Notamacropus eugenii: one gene and its partner. The protein of the gene in region 1 purifies or fractionates together with the protein of each later gene. This does not show direct contact. Links are inferred from orthologs where the notes say so. Each region holds a gene or a part of one and is shown on either strand. Other genes may lie near its edges.

What was found.
Region 2: the proteins of SESN2 (region 1) and SQSTM1 purify together in Homo sapiens (affinity purification with western blotting; 3 studies listed by BioGRID and IntAct, with this or other methods). This does not show direct contact. The link is inferred for Notamacropus eugenii from reciprocal best matches to the Homo sapiens genes SESN2 and SQSTM1.

The regions. Positions count from the first base shown.
Region 1 is NC_092876.1:69,378,803-69,386,513, reverse strand, and holds the start of SESN2 (sestrin-2), read right to left. Parts: upstream 3,028-7,711; 5' UTR 2,730-3,027; coding exon 2,646-2,729; intron 1,680-2,645; exon of another isoform or gene 1,646-1,679; coding exon of another isoform or gene 1,601-1,645; intron 1-1,600. UniProt on the Homo sapiens protein: Functions as an intracellular leucine sensor that negatively regulates the mTORC1 signaling pathway through the GATOR complex. In absence of leucine, binds the GATOR subcomplex GATOR2 and prevents mTORC1 signaling.
Region 2 is NC_092872.1:416,510,040-416,517,241, reverse strand, and holds the start of SQSTM1 (sequestosome-1), read left to right. Parts: upstream 1-4,169; 5' UTR 4,170-4,381; coding exon 4,382-4,556; intron 4,557-7,202. UniProt on the Homo sapiens protein: Molecular adapter required for selective macroautophagy (aggrephagy) by acting as a bridge between polyubiquitinated proteins and autophagosomes.

The DNA of each region.
Region 1 (7,711 bases):
TTAAGAGATAATGCTTGTGGACTGACTAGCTTCTACTTTTAGAGTTACCTGGGGAACTGAGAGGTCAAGTGATTTGCAAAGTATAAGTCAGAGACTTCTTCCTCTCTGCCCCTCTAGCCAGCATGGAGGTTCATTTCTCTCTAATGGTTATAAATACTACTTAGTCAGCACTTAGTAGTGAAGGAGTCTGCACACTCTGTTAGCCGGTACCCAAAGGGTCAGAGGCCTCTGGCTTACCTGGGTTAAAACCCTTAATGGTTTCCTATGGTCTATGAAGTAATGTTCCAAAGGCTTGACCCGACATTCCAGCCTTGCTATTGTTCAGTGCCAACCTACCTTTCTACTCTTAGTTCTGTTTCTTAATCATGTATTCCAACCAAATTAGCCTACCGATTATATGGTTTTGGGCCCCCAGTCCCAGTATCTGGAATACCCTGACCTCACCTCTATCTCCACCTTCGATGCTACCTACTGCCTCCCTAGGGTCTTCTTTGATTCCTCTAATCAAAAATGCTCTTTCCTCCTCCAAGCCCAAATTAATCCTTTGTTCACACTCTTTTGTAAGAGTTAGTTAAGTATGTCTCCATTACGTCTCCCTGTACAGGCTTCGTTGAGTTCCTAGAGGGTGGTGATTTGATTATTTAAATCAGTGGTGTAGACCTCAAATAGAAACCCAGCCCACTAATTGGTACATAAAGACGCCTGCAGGCCACATACTGACTCAGCTTTAAACGTAATATTACTTATGTTTTGATTCGTTTTTTAAATATTTCCCAATTACATTTTAATCTGGTTTGAGATGCACTGGGGAGCGTTGCACATGAACGTTTGACACCTGCGATCTAAATCATGTGTCTGTCCCTGTCCTTTAGCCCTGCACATAATAGGTGTGGCATCAGCGATCCATTCTGTGGTTGAAGCCCCGAAATGACTGGCTGGGGGATTTGGGGCTCGGGGTCTCTAGGAGCGTTGCTTTGGAAGGACTCCAGAGCTGCTGCTCTCTTGAAAAAGTCTGATCTCCAAAGGAGAGCGGACTTCCCGGTCCTTTCAGCTTTCTCAAGACAGTAGGAATATTCATTAACTTCTCGGTCACCACAGACATCTTCCGCCGCTGACCCCGAGATTCCAAAGTTTTCCACTGGGGAGTAATTCCATCAGGTGAGGGGGCATGGCCTCCGAGAGCTCGGCCTTCCTCCTTCCCCGGCAGAGCCCTCTCCTTCCACCACCAGACACACCTGGAAGTGTGTGTGTGTGTGGGGGGGGGGGGGGGGGAGTGCTATCTGGAAGGGAGAGAAGGCTGAAGCTTTCTTTTTTTCACCTCCGGAAGGGCAGTCTCTATTACATTAGCCCTAGGAGGTCGGTGAGGTCATTCTGGGTCCTCCCTTATTAGGGAAGTTAAGATGGTACAGGGGAAAACAGGAAGGTCTCTGAGGTCCGGGGTTCAAAGCTAGTCTCCACTATTACTATGCGACCTTATGAAGTCCCTTAATCTCCTACAGCTTCAGTTTTTCCCTCGGTAAAACCCAGGAGCTTAACCCGGAGGCCCCTTCCAGGACCCTGCAGGCAGTTCTGGTCTGGATATAAAGAAGTCGGGCCCTACCTGAGGAATGCCCAGCTTAACGGATCTGGGGCATCTTTCCCCCATCCCCACAGGCCGTCAGACAGTCAGAACTGAAACTTCGGGCCAAGTTTCTGGGCAAATTTTCCGAAATGCAAACAACATTCCAAGTCCTGGAAGGAGATTCGGTCAGGAGATGGTGTGATCTGAATCAGGTGAGGTTAGTCAGGGACGGCTTCCCGGAGGAGGGGATGCCCGTGAAGCTCACACTTCAACAACGTTTTCCCGCTCACAAAGCTCTTTCCACATGACAACGAGACGAGTAAGGTAGGTCGGAGGAGCGTTTAGTTCCAAGTCACAGAAGGTCCCTGAATCCCCCAGCTAACAGGTGGCTGGGCTTATCGAACGACCACTAGTTTGGGGCTGCAAGGTTCTCTTCCTCAGCCCCCTCTTGCCCGTAGGGACCTAGGTCTCCATCAAGACCCTGAAACCGCGTGTCCACCCCTGTCCAGGCAGCATCTCGCTCTCCGGGTGGTCGGGGTTCCCATTCACTCCTTTCCGCTCATCCCCCCCCCCCCGACCCCACCGGGTCCGAGGTCTTCCCTCCCGGGGTCGTGCAGAGCGACAGGACCTGGGAGCATTGCCAAGCGCCCCGAAAGTTTCCTCCGCCGCCGCCCAGAGAGCGAAGGATTCTGCCGCCACCTCCCTGAAGGCACGGTTCCAAGACCCCCTGGGGTTCCCCAGTGGAAAATCGGGAAGGAAGCGGACAAGGTCTACTCCGACGGGCCCAGGCATGCCCAGGCTGGAAGACGGCGCCTACTGGGCAAGCCGGGCCCACTCGGGAAGCCCCTCCTCCCCCAACCCCCACTCCGTCCTAAGTAGCTGTCCAGAGCTCTTCCCCCGGGAACGAAGTCGGAGGAAGAGGAGGGGGGCAGCGGCGGCCAGTTGATGCAATCCCGGCGCCAGGTTACAGTCTGCCCCCAATTCCCAGCCCCCGATCCCCATCCCAGGGCTGAGCCGGCCGTCGAGCCTGTCCCGTGGCCAGAAGGGCTGGACTCGCGGCTGGGGAGGGGTCCGCGCCACTCACCTCCGCGGTCCCTGCGCCGCCGCACTGGGTGTAGGGGATGTAGCCCTGGATTCCGGCGCAGTTCTCCGCGTCCGCCACGATCATGGTGCCAGCCAGCGCGCACCTTCCTTGCGGGGCCCGCGGGCACGGCCGCGGGGGTACAGCGCGCGAGCGGGTCCCGGGGTGGCAGGCGCTCCCGGCGAGGTGGGGCTCTGCACCTGTCCGCAGACCCACGGTCCTGCACCGGAACGGTCCGTGGCTACCCGAGGGGCGCCCCAGCTTCTACCGTGGCCCCGGGGGGTCTTAGAATTCTAGAGTGAAGAACGTCTCGGCTACCACAGCTCACAGACATCCCCGAGCCCGACTGCCTTTAGCTTCTCTGGATCCGACCTCGGCAACTGAGACCTACCCAGACGCAGGTCGGAGGGGTGGGGAGTGAGAGGGAGGGGACACAAGCCTCAGGCTTCGGCCAATCACCTACTCATTGGTCCGGCAGGAGGCGGAGACGCCTTTCCTCCTCCAACAGCTTCTCTCGACTATCTTCCAATGGGCTCGGGGAAGCGCTGGGGGAGCTGGGAGTTGTAGTTTTACCCTGGAGGATGTTGCAAACTTTTGCAAGAGGGTTACTCATAAACAAGTAAATGAGAAACGAGAGACCGAGAGTGACAGTCCCAGATAGTCATTATGATTGCATGATGAATTGCAACTTTTTAGGGACTGGGCAGGGCATCTGGGTTTATAATTTCAAACCATTTCATGCTACAGATTTTAAATTTCTGGTGAGGTTATTTAGGGTCCCTGGATGGCTTTTCGAGGTGACTGTTTATAATGAGCATTGCTGGAGCTAATTATAGGTCTGAACCCGAGGGAGTTTTAAAAGGTCTTTCAGAATATTCACTTTGCCCTCAAGCAGCCCCGCACCTTCAAACATACCAGACAAAAGAGAATCCAGCCTGTATCTGAAGTTCTGCAGAAAGGATTTCATAACTTCCTTAAGAAATTCATTCGGGTGCCTAATTTCAGCCTCTCTTGCTGGAGTTTCAGTCTTTCCCCACTCCTTTATTCTCCTTTACCAGTCTGCACTATCTGACACTATATTTAACGGTATTTAATCACCCGTTGCTCCTTTAATCACTCACTCAATCAATAAATATTTGCTGCATTCCTCTAAGTGCCAGGGCACCAAGTTTGAAACTCTTCTCCCTTGTTCAAGACATGGAACTATCTTGGTTTTCCCATCTACCAGTTGATGACCCTTTTTCCTCTCCTTATATAGATTCCCCTCTTTGATTTCCTCCTCACCCAGAAAAGGGGGCATTTCTCCTAAACTTCTGGCCATGACCTTCTCTCTCTAGGAAAGGAAGGATAGAGATGGGGGAGGGCAACGATGCAATACTATTCCTGAGTTACATTTTCCCCAACTCTCACAGGAACCCACCACCCCAGCCCAGCAGCTGAGATATGAAATGGCAGCTAGCCCTTTAAATTTAGCACAGATGGAGGCAGAAGGCATCTAGGCAGGAATGCTCTCTTTAGGGACTTGGATGACATTGGGGGAGTAGGGAAAGCAACTAGGTTACTGACACCTCCCATTTCAGTTTGGGGGTCCTTACTTCTCAAGCTGCTCCTAGCACCTCCATGCTATGGACTTCTCTCAAATTTGTCTTTTAATCTCTGATATCTGCTTTCACTTCCAGTTCAAATTTTTCATCTACTTGCTGGACATATCCATGAAAATGTATCCCTGGAAATTAAAAAAGTTGAAAGCTGAACTCATTTTCCTAAAGGCAGTTACTTTCCCTTGATTTACTCATTTCTGTTAATGGCCCCCCAAAATTCATTAACCTGACTGAGCTCTGACTGTTCTCTCTCCATACACCCTATCAGTCACCAAACCTTGTTCATTCTTCCTTCCTATTTCCAGAATCCCACCCCTAATGTAGGTAATGGTGATCACCTCTCAGTTGGATTATAATACTAGACTCCTCCTAACTCTTCTCCTGACTCTCTCAACGCATGATCCACACCTGCCAGAAGAATCTTTTCTTTCTTTTTTGGGGGGGGGCAGGGGGGAGACAGTAGGGGTTAAGTGACTTGCCCAGTGTCACACTGCTAGTAAGCATCTGAGGCCAAATTTGAATTCCTGTTACCTTGATTCCTGAGGATGTGCACTATTCACTGCGCCACCTAGCTGCCCCCCAGAAGAATCTTCTTAAAGCCAAGGTTTTACCCTGCTACTCAAATGTTGGGAGGTCTTCAATGGTTCCCCATGGTTTAAAAGTGATAAATCTAATCTCCAAATCCTGCCATTTAATACCCTCCACAAATGGCTCCAAACTCCTTTTCCAATCTTATACAACGAATTGAGAGCTCCAAGAGACCTTGGTAGTCATTTAATTTCATTTTCAGATAAGGGAACTGAGAATGAGGGAGATTAAGTGACTTGTCTAAGTCACCCAATGAGAGCAGCAGTTAGGATTTGAACCCAGGTTCTCTGAGTACAGATGTATTGATATTTCTGCTACAACTTTATATATGATATTGGTGTTTCAAGGCATATACAGCTTCCCTTTGAGCTCTGTGCTCCAGCCAAACTATACTAGTGGACATTTCCAAACACACTTTCCCATTTCCCTGCAACAACAGCTAGCAACCTCTCCTCCCTCTTCCCCCCCATTCCCTTCCTCCATTCCCTAGAGCTGTCTGTTGAAATCTCACTATCCTTTAAGGGTCAGCTTCAAGGACACCTCACCCCCAGGCAGGTAATCTCTCTTTCTCTCTATCTCTGCCTCCCTGTCTCTGTCTCTCCCCTCCCTACTCCCACAGCACCATCTACTGTTACCATGGTACTTATTGCCTACTGCCTTATATTTGCACTTAGTATCAACATCTTTCCCCCTGAGACTCCATGGCAGGGATCGTGTCTCATTGATCTCCAATATATAACAGCAACAAATAACATTCATATAGCACTTAATATATAACTAATGTACTTTGTAATCAAAAATCTCATTTTTTTTCTTTTGCTCACACAAAAGCCTTAGGTTGGTGGTGCAACTATTATACCCCTTTTATAGGTCAGTATACTAAGGTTCAGAGATAAAGTGGTTGGCCCAAGGTCACACAGGAAATACTAGAGCTGGGATAAGAATGTAGACTGCTTCTCAAATCCAATGCTTTTTCTGATTTCACTACATGCTGTGTCACTACTGTGTCTCCCTCTGCATGGGAACTCAATAAATAATCTTTGAATTTAATGGGCATTTTGATTTGAAAAAGCTCATATAAAGAAATCTAGGTGTGCCTCTTCAAGCCTGTTTGAAGCAATCAGTTCATCGGACTTTTCAGCCTTCACTCCCTCCCTTTTCCGAGCAATAAAAGAGCAGTCTCAATCACTCATTCTCCAGGAATTCTCAAGTCAGTGGTCCGAGGTATGATTCCCAAGTCAGGGGGACTCCAGTTTGAGAAATATACTAGACCCAGAAATCTAAAAACAAGCCCCAGCACAAGAACTGTGCACATCTGTCTATGCTAAGGGGATGCATTTCCTTCCACACAGTGAGGCCGGTAAGATGGCAAAGGCTTGAAGTGGCTGAAGCCACTCCAATGAGTCTAAAACGGACCCTAGCAATTGGAAGGGAAAAGACCTGTTTGAATCTGCATTAGCTGACAGTGCCCTCTGCTGGGCACACGCTGCTACAGCTCAAAGTAGTACCAGAGAAAGAAGGTATCTTTGAGTTTCTTTTGTGCACCCTCAAGGTATAGGGCATGAAAGTGGAGCCCTCAAAGGGGTTGCAATGTGCACAACATCACAGAGCTAGAAATGGTACAACCAGAATTTGAACCCAGCTCCTCCGGTCAGAGAGCAGGCATTCTGGCCACAGTGCCTCTCTTCCCAAACAGCCTGATTCACAGAATTTGGATCAACCTGTCAGTGGTGACCAGCTGTGAAGTCCAACCATTAGCTCTGAGGATGGCTCTGCTTCTGGGCAAAATATGGCCAACCAAGATGGTCATCTTAGGCAACTTCCTAGAGTAACTGAGGAACAGAGAAGGGGCTGGGATGGGGGCAGACTTTTCCCAAGTCATACAAAGCATTATTGGTAAGCAATATCTAGACTCCTAATTCAGGGTTGTGCCCCATTGTAACACAATGCCCTGACAACCTGACATCTCTTCCCAAGGTCAGTAACCTTTATCCCTTTGGGTTCCTCCCCATCAACATTTTCTAATTCCCAAGATATGCCCACACATTCCCTTAATTTTTAAAAAAAAAATCTTCCCTGCATTCTTTCTCCTTCCCAAGACAATACCCCCTCCTCTTGTTATTCCCATGAGGAGTCCTACTCACCAGCAGGATCCCCTTCTCCCAGGCTGGATCCTCCCAAGGCAACAGCATTCCCTGAACATCCTCAGATACTGCTGCTTCCCCTCTCTGCACTTTGCTGAATTTCCTTGGCTTTCCCTGTTCATGCTAGATGACTGTACTAGTGCTGCTCTGATCCCCCCTTGGGGTCATCTAGTCCATACCCCTCATTTGACAGATAAGAAAAACAGAGACTCAGAGATGTGAACAACTATCTTTCTAATTAAATCCAGTAATAGGGAACTTTTCAAAGTGGGGAAACCCTAAGGGAGGGTCAATACCTTTGCAAGCATCTCCAGAAGTCTTCAAAACAGGTCCATCACACCTTCTTCTCGGCCTTGGCAGTGTCAGGTGGACCCGAACTGATCAAGAATACTACCTTAAACCATTCCTTTTGCCAGCTTTTTTTCTCTTTTTGCTCAGCAACAGGCTCCCTTTTATATGTTGACTGGTGGCCAATTAAAAGGGAGATGGGTGGGATTTGTCTGGCAGCCAATAGCTAACCTCTGGGAATAGCTCCAGGAAGCTGATAGGCCTAGACCAATTTCTGACTTGGTTACAGGGGCTAAACCAAAGGCTTCTTACAAGGGTGGGGAAAGGATGATCTTTATGTCCTTGGGGTTCTGCCTTTTAATGTTTTCTGATAGGTATAGGCTTCAGTAGCCTACCTATACCAGACAAGACAATGAGCAGCTCTTTCTCCCTCTTGATAGAAGTGGGA
Region 2 (7,202 bases), on another chromosome or scaffold:
TTCACTGTCACTCAGCTCACTACAAATCATCATTAATAATAAACTATTATTGATTGCTAGCGTTTATCCAGCACGTTAGGGTTTGCAGAGAGCTTTGTGTGTGTTATCTCACCTGACGATCTCTACAACAACTCTGCTCTGAGGCAGGTACCACATCATTCCCATTTTACAAATGAGGAAACTGAGGCTGAGAGAGGTTAGCATAGTGGACAGAGTGCCTGACTGCAAATCAGGTCTTAGACATTTGCTGGCTATGTGACCCTGGGTAAAGCACTTAATCTCTGACTTGCCTCAGTTTCTTTTTCAGCAGAACAGGGATAATAGCAGCACCCACCTCACAGGGCTGTCATGAAGATCAAATTAGATAACATTTGCAATGCACTTTGCAAACCTTCATGTGCTCTACAAATGCTATTATCACTATATGTACATATGGGTATATATCTAAATGTACGTACATATATATGTACATACACACATGCACAAAAATATACATATATGAGTGTTTTCCTCACCCCTAACCACCCTCTCTCACCTCCCACCAAATCTAAGCCAGAACCCAATGGTAAAGAGCAGCTCTCGCCCCTATAGTGAAAGAAACCACTGTGGTTCATTGGGAAGAGACAGAGTCAAATCTGAAGGATATGTTTCATTCATTTCTCTTATGGCTTGTGTGACCCTGGGTGATAGTAGCAGCAGCAGCAGAAGTAGTAATAGTAATGTCACTTAGTAGGCAAGTCACTAAACATACATGGGTTTTGGTTTCCTTGTTTGTAAAAGAGGTTGGCTTAGATGACCTCTGAGGTTTGTTCCAGTTCTGACTCCATGACCCTAGCTTGGTATCTGTTAGTAAGTCAGGATGGAGGTTACAACCTTTCACCCAGAGGGCTAGACTCCACTGACCTCTAAGATCCCTTCCAGCTCTAAATTCCAACTTATAAGCCTTAAAGCTGAGCAGGGGGTTGGCAAGTGATGCATCTGGCTTCTGGCCCTGGCTGGAGAACTCTGACAAGGCTGGGAACTCACTGAGTCATCGTTACCCACACTCCCAAGGGCCAAGGAGCAGAAACCTTCCTACCTCCCTTAGAAAGTACTGGATGGGGTTGAGCCAAGCCTGGTTGGGCAATACTCAAGAGGAAGGGGTGTGGCCAAAGTAATTAAATGAGTGAGAGTAGGGATACCCCCCCAAGTTTCTGGTGTTCTCTAGAAAGTTCTGTGTCCCACCCCCAACCAGAATTCCTTTCTACTAACCCTGGGTTCTCTGGCCCTGCTGCCTCATTTCTAAGTAGCTAGCTGACCTTAGGGATCCTGGACTCCTTGTTACCTTTTATAGACTCCCCACCATATCCTTCCTGTTCCCTTTCTTCTGAGTCTCACTTTTCTCATCAGTAGAGAAAATGGTACCTGAAGTGCCTACCTGATGGAGTTATTAGGAGGATCAAGGAAGATGATGTGTGGCAATCCCTGTAGCAATTAATCAATCAACAAGCATTTATTAAGCCTCCATTAGGTGCCAGGCCCTGGGCTACGTGCTGAGGCTAAGACAAAAAGTGACATCCCTACGGCCAAGAAGGAAGGCAAGCACAGAGTCAAGCACACACAAAGTATATGTGAAGTCATTTCAGGGGGAGGCACTTGCTTCTTCCAAGAAGTGCTGGCTGGCATTTAAGCTGAGCTTCTAAGGAAACTAGAAGCTCCAAGAGGTAGAAAGGAGGAGGGAGTGCACTCAAGATGTGGGATACAGCCTGGGCAAAACTGAGGAGATGCGAAATGGCTTGAAGGCCAGTTTGATTGGATCGTGAGAAAGGGAGTTAATGTTCAGTGAATGAGGAAAGATAGGGCCAGGTTGTGAAGGGTTTTAAGATCTAAACTGAGGAGTTTATACTTTAAGTTACAGGTAATAGGAAGTTAAGAGAGTAGGAGAGTGACACAGTATTAACTTGCCTAAAATTCCCCATTAGATAAGCTTCCTGAGGGGAGGCCTAGAAAAAAGGAAGGAGAACCTGCTGTAGATAGTCAACAAATAGGGAAGGGAATAAGAATTTATATATGGCCTACTATGTGTCAGGCACGGTGTTAAATGCTTTACAAATGTAAACTCATTTGATCCTCACAGTAATCCTGGAAAGTAGGGGCGGTCATTATTTGAAACAGAGGGTAAGTGACTTGTGCAGTAAGGTGACACAGTGTCAGAGGTCAGAGCTGACTCAGGAATTCCTGACTACAGGCCCTAAGCTCTATCCATTTCACCCTCTACCTGAGAAAATCCTACCCAAGAGAACTCCCAGGGACAAAGAATCATAGAAATGAACCTGTGACTCAATTCTCCTTTGGACTGGAGTGAAACAAGCCTGATCTCACAGACAGTGCTAGTCAAACCCCTTTCCTCTTGGCCCAGTGAAACTCCCCAGATTCCCCTGATAACATGTGTTGTTCCCTAAAGCCAGACACTTATTATCATCATTCCCAATCAACCAATCGAAAGGCATTTATGAAAGGCTTATCATTGGCCTGTGGCTGTGCTATACCTTAGGGAATCAAAGACAAAAGGGAAATAGTCTGTGCCCTCAAGAAACTTACTCTTCGGGGGTGGGGTTGGTTGAGTAGTATGTACATACAAAAATATAAGCAAAATAGATAGAATTTAAGTTTTGAGAGGAAGGCACAAGAAACTGGAGGAGTTGGGAGAGGTTTCCTGTATCTCTTTTATGCTGTATCTCTTGATTTAAGTTTTGAAGGAGACCAAGAATTGTGGAGGGCAGCCAGGTGGCACAGTAGATAGAGAACTAGCCTGGAATGAGAAAGACCTGAGTTCAAATCTAACTTCAGACACTATCTGTGTGACCCTGGGCAAGTCACTTCACCCTCTTTACCTCAGTTTCCTCATCTGTAAAATGAGCTGGAGAGGGAAATAACAAACCACTCCAGTATCTTTGTCAAAAATACCCCCAAAGGGTCACAAAGAGTCAGAAACAACAGTAAGTTAGAATGGAAGAGTTGAATTATCTCCTGGGCCTTCTACTGGAGAAAGATGGAAAGAGCTCAGCACCACAGGCCTCAGGGGACAAGGGCACGGCATAGGGCACAGACCCTAGGGGATTTTGAGGGGACAAGTAGTTCAAGCAATAAGCATTTTTTAAGCATCTACTATGTGTTAGGCATAGTTTAATCTATATTATATTGTATCAACATTTATAACGCGTACTTTATATTTTAATCTCTACGCGGTCAGTCAAGTGGCTCTTGGAGCTGGAGGAAGATGGAAAATTCCAGATTTAACAATGAGGGGCAAACCAAGCCTCCCCAGCCCCATGGGCCAAGTTAGGCAAGTTAGACAAGTTAGCCTCGGAGCCCTGGCCATCAGAGAAGGTCACCGAGCTAAGTTCTCCTTGGCTAACGGTCCGTGAACACTGGCAAGGAGCGCTGCGGACCCCCTCTGCGGGCAGCAGGCCCACTTTGGGGCACGGGGTAAGAGAAAGCTCCCGGAGCCCGGAGGCCCCGAAGTGGCCAGGCGAGCTGCTGAGTCATGCTCAGTCAGGTCAGTGTGCAGTCCGGGGAAGTCCCTCACCCGTGGGGCTGTGAATCCGGAGGGAAGCGGCCTGGTGCCCAACTCTTCCTGCCCTATGCGGCCCTCGCCAGCGTGCTGGGGCACCGGGGGCACGGAGACCTCCCCCTCCCCACAGCTCAGGGCCCTAAGGAAGAGCCAGGGCTCCCATACTTCTGAAAGTTGAAGGGGCCCTTCCGCAGGTCCGCGGACCTCCCTCCTACAGCAGACACCCCCGCCCCGACGCTGAGACCTCCCCTAGAACACGGCGCCCCTCCCTGCCCCCTCCACCTTCCACTCCCCCCAACGGCGCATAAAACCCTCACCCCCCAAAAAGCCTCCCGCTCCTTTCCAGGGGCAAAATGACGGTCCCTTCAGCCTCCTCCGGCTACAGGGACACCCCCTCCCACACGCACGTGGGAAGCCTCTGGGATACTTTTCTAGACAGCTGCATCCCCTGGCACGTGGGAACTGCTCCCCGCCCCCACTCTGATGCCTCCCAGGGTCGCAGAGCCCCCAGCTCCGCCACTACGGACCGAACGGCAGACCCCTCCCCCCACTTGTTTATTTCGGCAGCGCACGAGGGATCCGCTTCGGGGCGTGAGCTAGCACCGAGGGACACGTGAGGGGAGGGGGGCGGGCGGGGTCCGGGGGGGGGGCGCGTAGCTCCCGGCCCCGCCCCAGCCGGGCGGAGACTCGGGCGTCGTGTATAAGACCTGAGCGGGGCGGGCTCGCCGGAGACGCCGTCCCAACGTCTGCGGGTCGCAGGTCGCCTTCGTCCGTGTTTTCAGCTGCCGAGACCGGCCTCTCCGCCTGCACAGTGCCGCCGACGCCGAGATGGAGCGGCTGACCGTGAAGGCCTACCTGATGGGCAAGGAGGAGGCGGCCCGGGAGATCCGCCGCTTCACCGTGGAGCCGCTCGACGGCCCGGGCCGCTGCGAGAAGCTGCTCCGCCGCGTGGCCGAGGTGTTCCCGGCGCTGCGGCCCGGCGGCTTCCAGGTGTACTACCGAGGTGAGGCCGCGGGGCCGGGCCGGGCAGGCGGGGGCCTGGCCGGGAGCGGGGCTCCGAGCCCGCAGCCGGCTCTGGCCCGCCCTGACCCTGCCGCTTGTTTATCTGGCGTCGGGCCGAGCCGGGCTTACGTAACCGGACCCCGTGTGCCGTGACGCGGGCCAAACCGCCGAGGCTGGGCGGGAGCCGAACCGACCCCCGCCGAGGTCTCCGTGTCCCCCGGGAGCTAGGCTAGGATTGGCCCGCCTGCAGCCACCCGCGTTTATTAAACGCTGCTGTGTGCGAGGCGCTGGAGACAGAAAAATGGTGGCGCTCCTACCCCCGAGGAGTTCACTTGGTTTTGGGGGTGTGGGGGTGTGTACACACACTCGTGGATGCGTAATACGTGTGTACGTATATCGGCGGCTGTACGCGTATCTAGCAGCCTGTTGCACGAGCAAGTCTGTTTATACAAACATGCGAATAAGTAAGCCAAGGTTCAGAGTTTTGAGGAGGAGGATCCGGAAGGAGCTTGGGGGCGGTTAGGGTGTGCCTGGCTTGGAGGTGTGTGTCTCGGTGCCCGCGTGTGCCCTGGCAGGAGTGGCATCAAACTTGTCCCAGCCGTGCGGCGCCGGGCGGGTCGCTTCATCGCCTCCTGCCTTAGCGTCCCCGTCGGTAAAATGGGCATTAGAAGTAAGGCCAAGCTGCCAGCGCTGTTGTGCGTGAGTGTTCCATGGAAGCGTTACTACTGGCGCTGCTACGGCTCCAGCCTTGCTTTGGGCCTGGCCGCCCGCCAGCCTCCTGGTCCTGTTGTGACTGCCCGAGCTGGACCTGGACGGAGCCCACGGTGGCGGCCCTCCCGCCCCCAGAGTAGTCCTTGGCTTTTCTACTCCCCCCAGGGCAGAAGTTTCCAGAATCTGTGACCATTTTCTGTCTCACCGTCTCCAAACTAATTAGTAAAATAACGTGTGATGAATCCCACAAACGAGCTAAACTTTTTTTCCAGAAATGTTTGTATAGTCAAAGAGTGGGGGGGAAATCCCACTTAGAGACCACCCTTGGAGATTGGATTGGTTTAAATCGATGTATCCTTAGGCAACACAAGATCCGTGCACACCAAAAGAGGCAGCAGACAGTCTAATGGAGGAGACCACATGCTAATAAATACGTAGAAAGAGAGCTACATTCAGAATAAAGAGGGAAGGCACTAGAATTTAAAGGGTTTGGGGAAGGCTTCCTGTAGGAAACCAGGGAGGTCAGTCAACACCAAAGGGAAAACTTTCTAGGCTCAGGACACCCAGAGAAAATGCCCAGAGCTGAGGGTTGGAGTTCGTGAAACAGCCAGGAGGCTGGTGTCGCTGGATAAGAAAGAGTACCTGTAGGGGCGAGTAAGGTGTAAGAAGATTGAAAAGGTTGTGAAGGGCTTTCCAAGGCCAAGCAGAGCTTTTTGTATTTGATCCTAGAGACAATAGGGAGGCCCTGGAGTTTATTGAGTAGGGGAAGGTGGGTTGACCCCATCGGACTTGAACATAGGAAAATCACTTTTAGTGGCTTGGAGGATAGATTGGAAGAAGGAGAGATGAGAAGCCTGCAGACACCCCATCCCCACAGCAGGATGTTGTAATCAAAGCCTGAGGTGATGAGGGCCTGGACCCAGGGGGTTGGCAGTGTCTGGAAGGATTTTGCAAAGGTGAAATCAATAGGCCTTGGCAGGGCTCGAATATGAGAGATGGGTGAGGAGTTCACCGTTCCTAGGTCAAGAACCTGAGAGACTGGTAAGATGATGTGGCTCCTGAGGGTAAAGGGAAAGGTTGGAGGGGCAGGATTTAGGGGGAAAGATTGATTTCAGCTTTGGACTTAGTTTAACTAAGTTAAAAATGTCTACTAGACATCCAGTTCTGGGTGTCTGAAAAGTTAGTTGGAGATGAGAAAATGGAGGTTAGGAGAGGGAGATTTAAGAATCATTGGCATAAAGATGATAATTAGATCCATGGCAAGTGAGAGAGAAGAGGGCCCAGGTATAGGAACTAGAGGGACACCCATGATTAAAGGGTGGCATCATTAGGAGGATCCAGGAAGGGACACAGAAGGAACAATCTGAGAGGTGGGAGGAGAACCAGGAGAGTGTGGTGTCCTGAAAACCTAGAAGAGGGTGTCAAGGGGGGGAGATTGACACAACTATGTTAGAGGTCAAGGGGAACGAGGGTGGAGAAAAAGACAACCAAGAGACTATTAGTAACTTTGGAGAGAGAAGGTTTTGGTGGAATGATGAAGTTGGAAGTCAGATTGCGAGGGGTTGAGGAGAGGAAGTGGAGACACTGATAAAGAGAAATGAGATTATAAAGTGAGGCAGAGGTCTCACTTTCGAATTTTTTTGGGGGGGGGGGGAGTTTTCCTGGAAAAAATGACTTCAGAGATCCAGGTATACTAACTTTGTAGTCTTTGATTCCCTTAGGCAGCTAGCACATACAGTGCCAGGCTTGGAGTCAGGAAGATCTGATTGGATTCAGATTTCATCCTGGAGGCAATTGGCAGCCACTGGAGTTTGTTGTTGGGGGAAGTGGGTTGACGCCAGCTGTGTGACAAGTCTAGGCAAGTTGTTTAACCTGCCTGCCTCGGTTTCTTCATCTCTAAAATGGGAATGATCATCTTCTACCTCCAAGGGTTGTG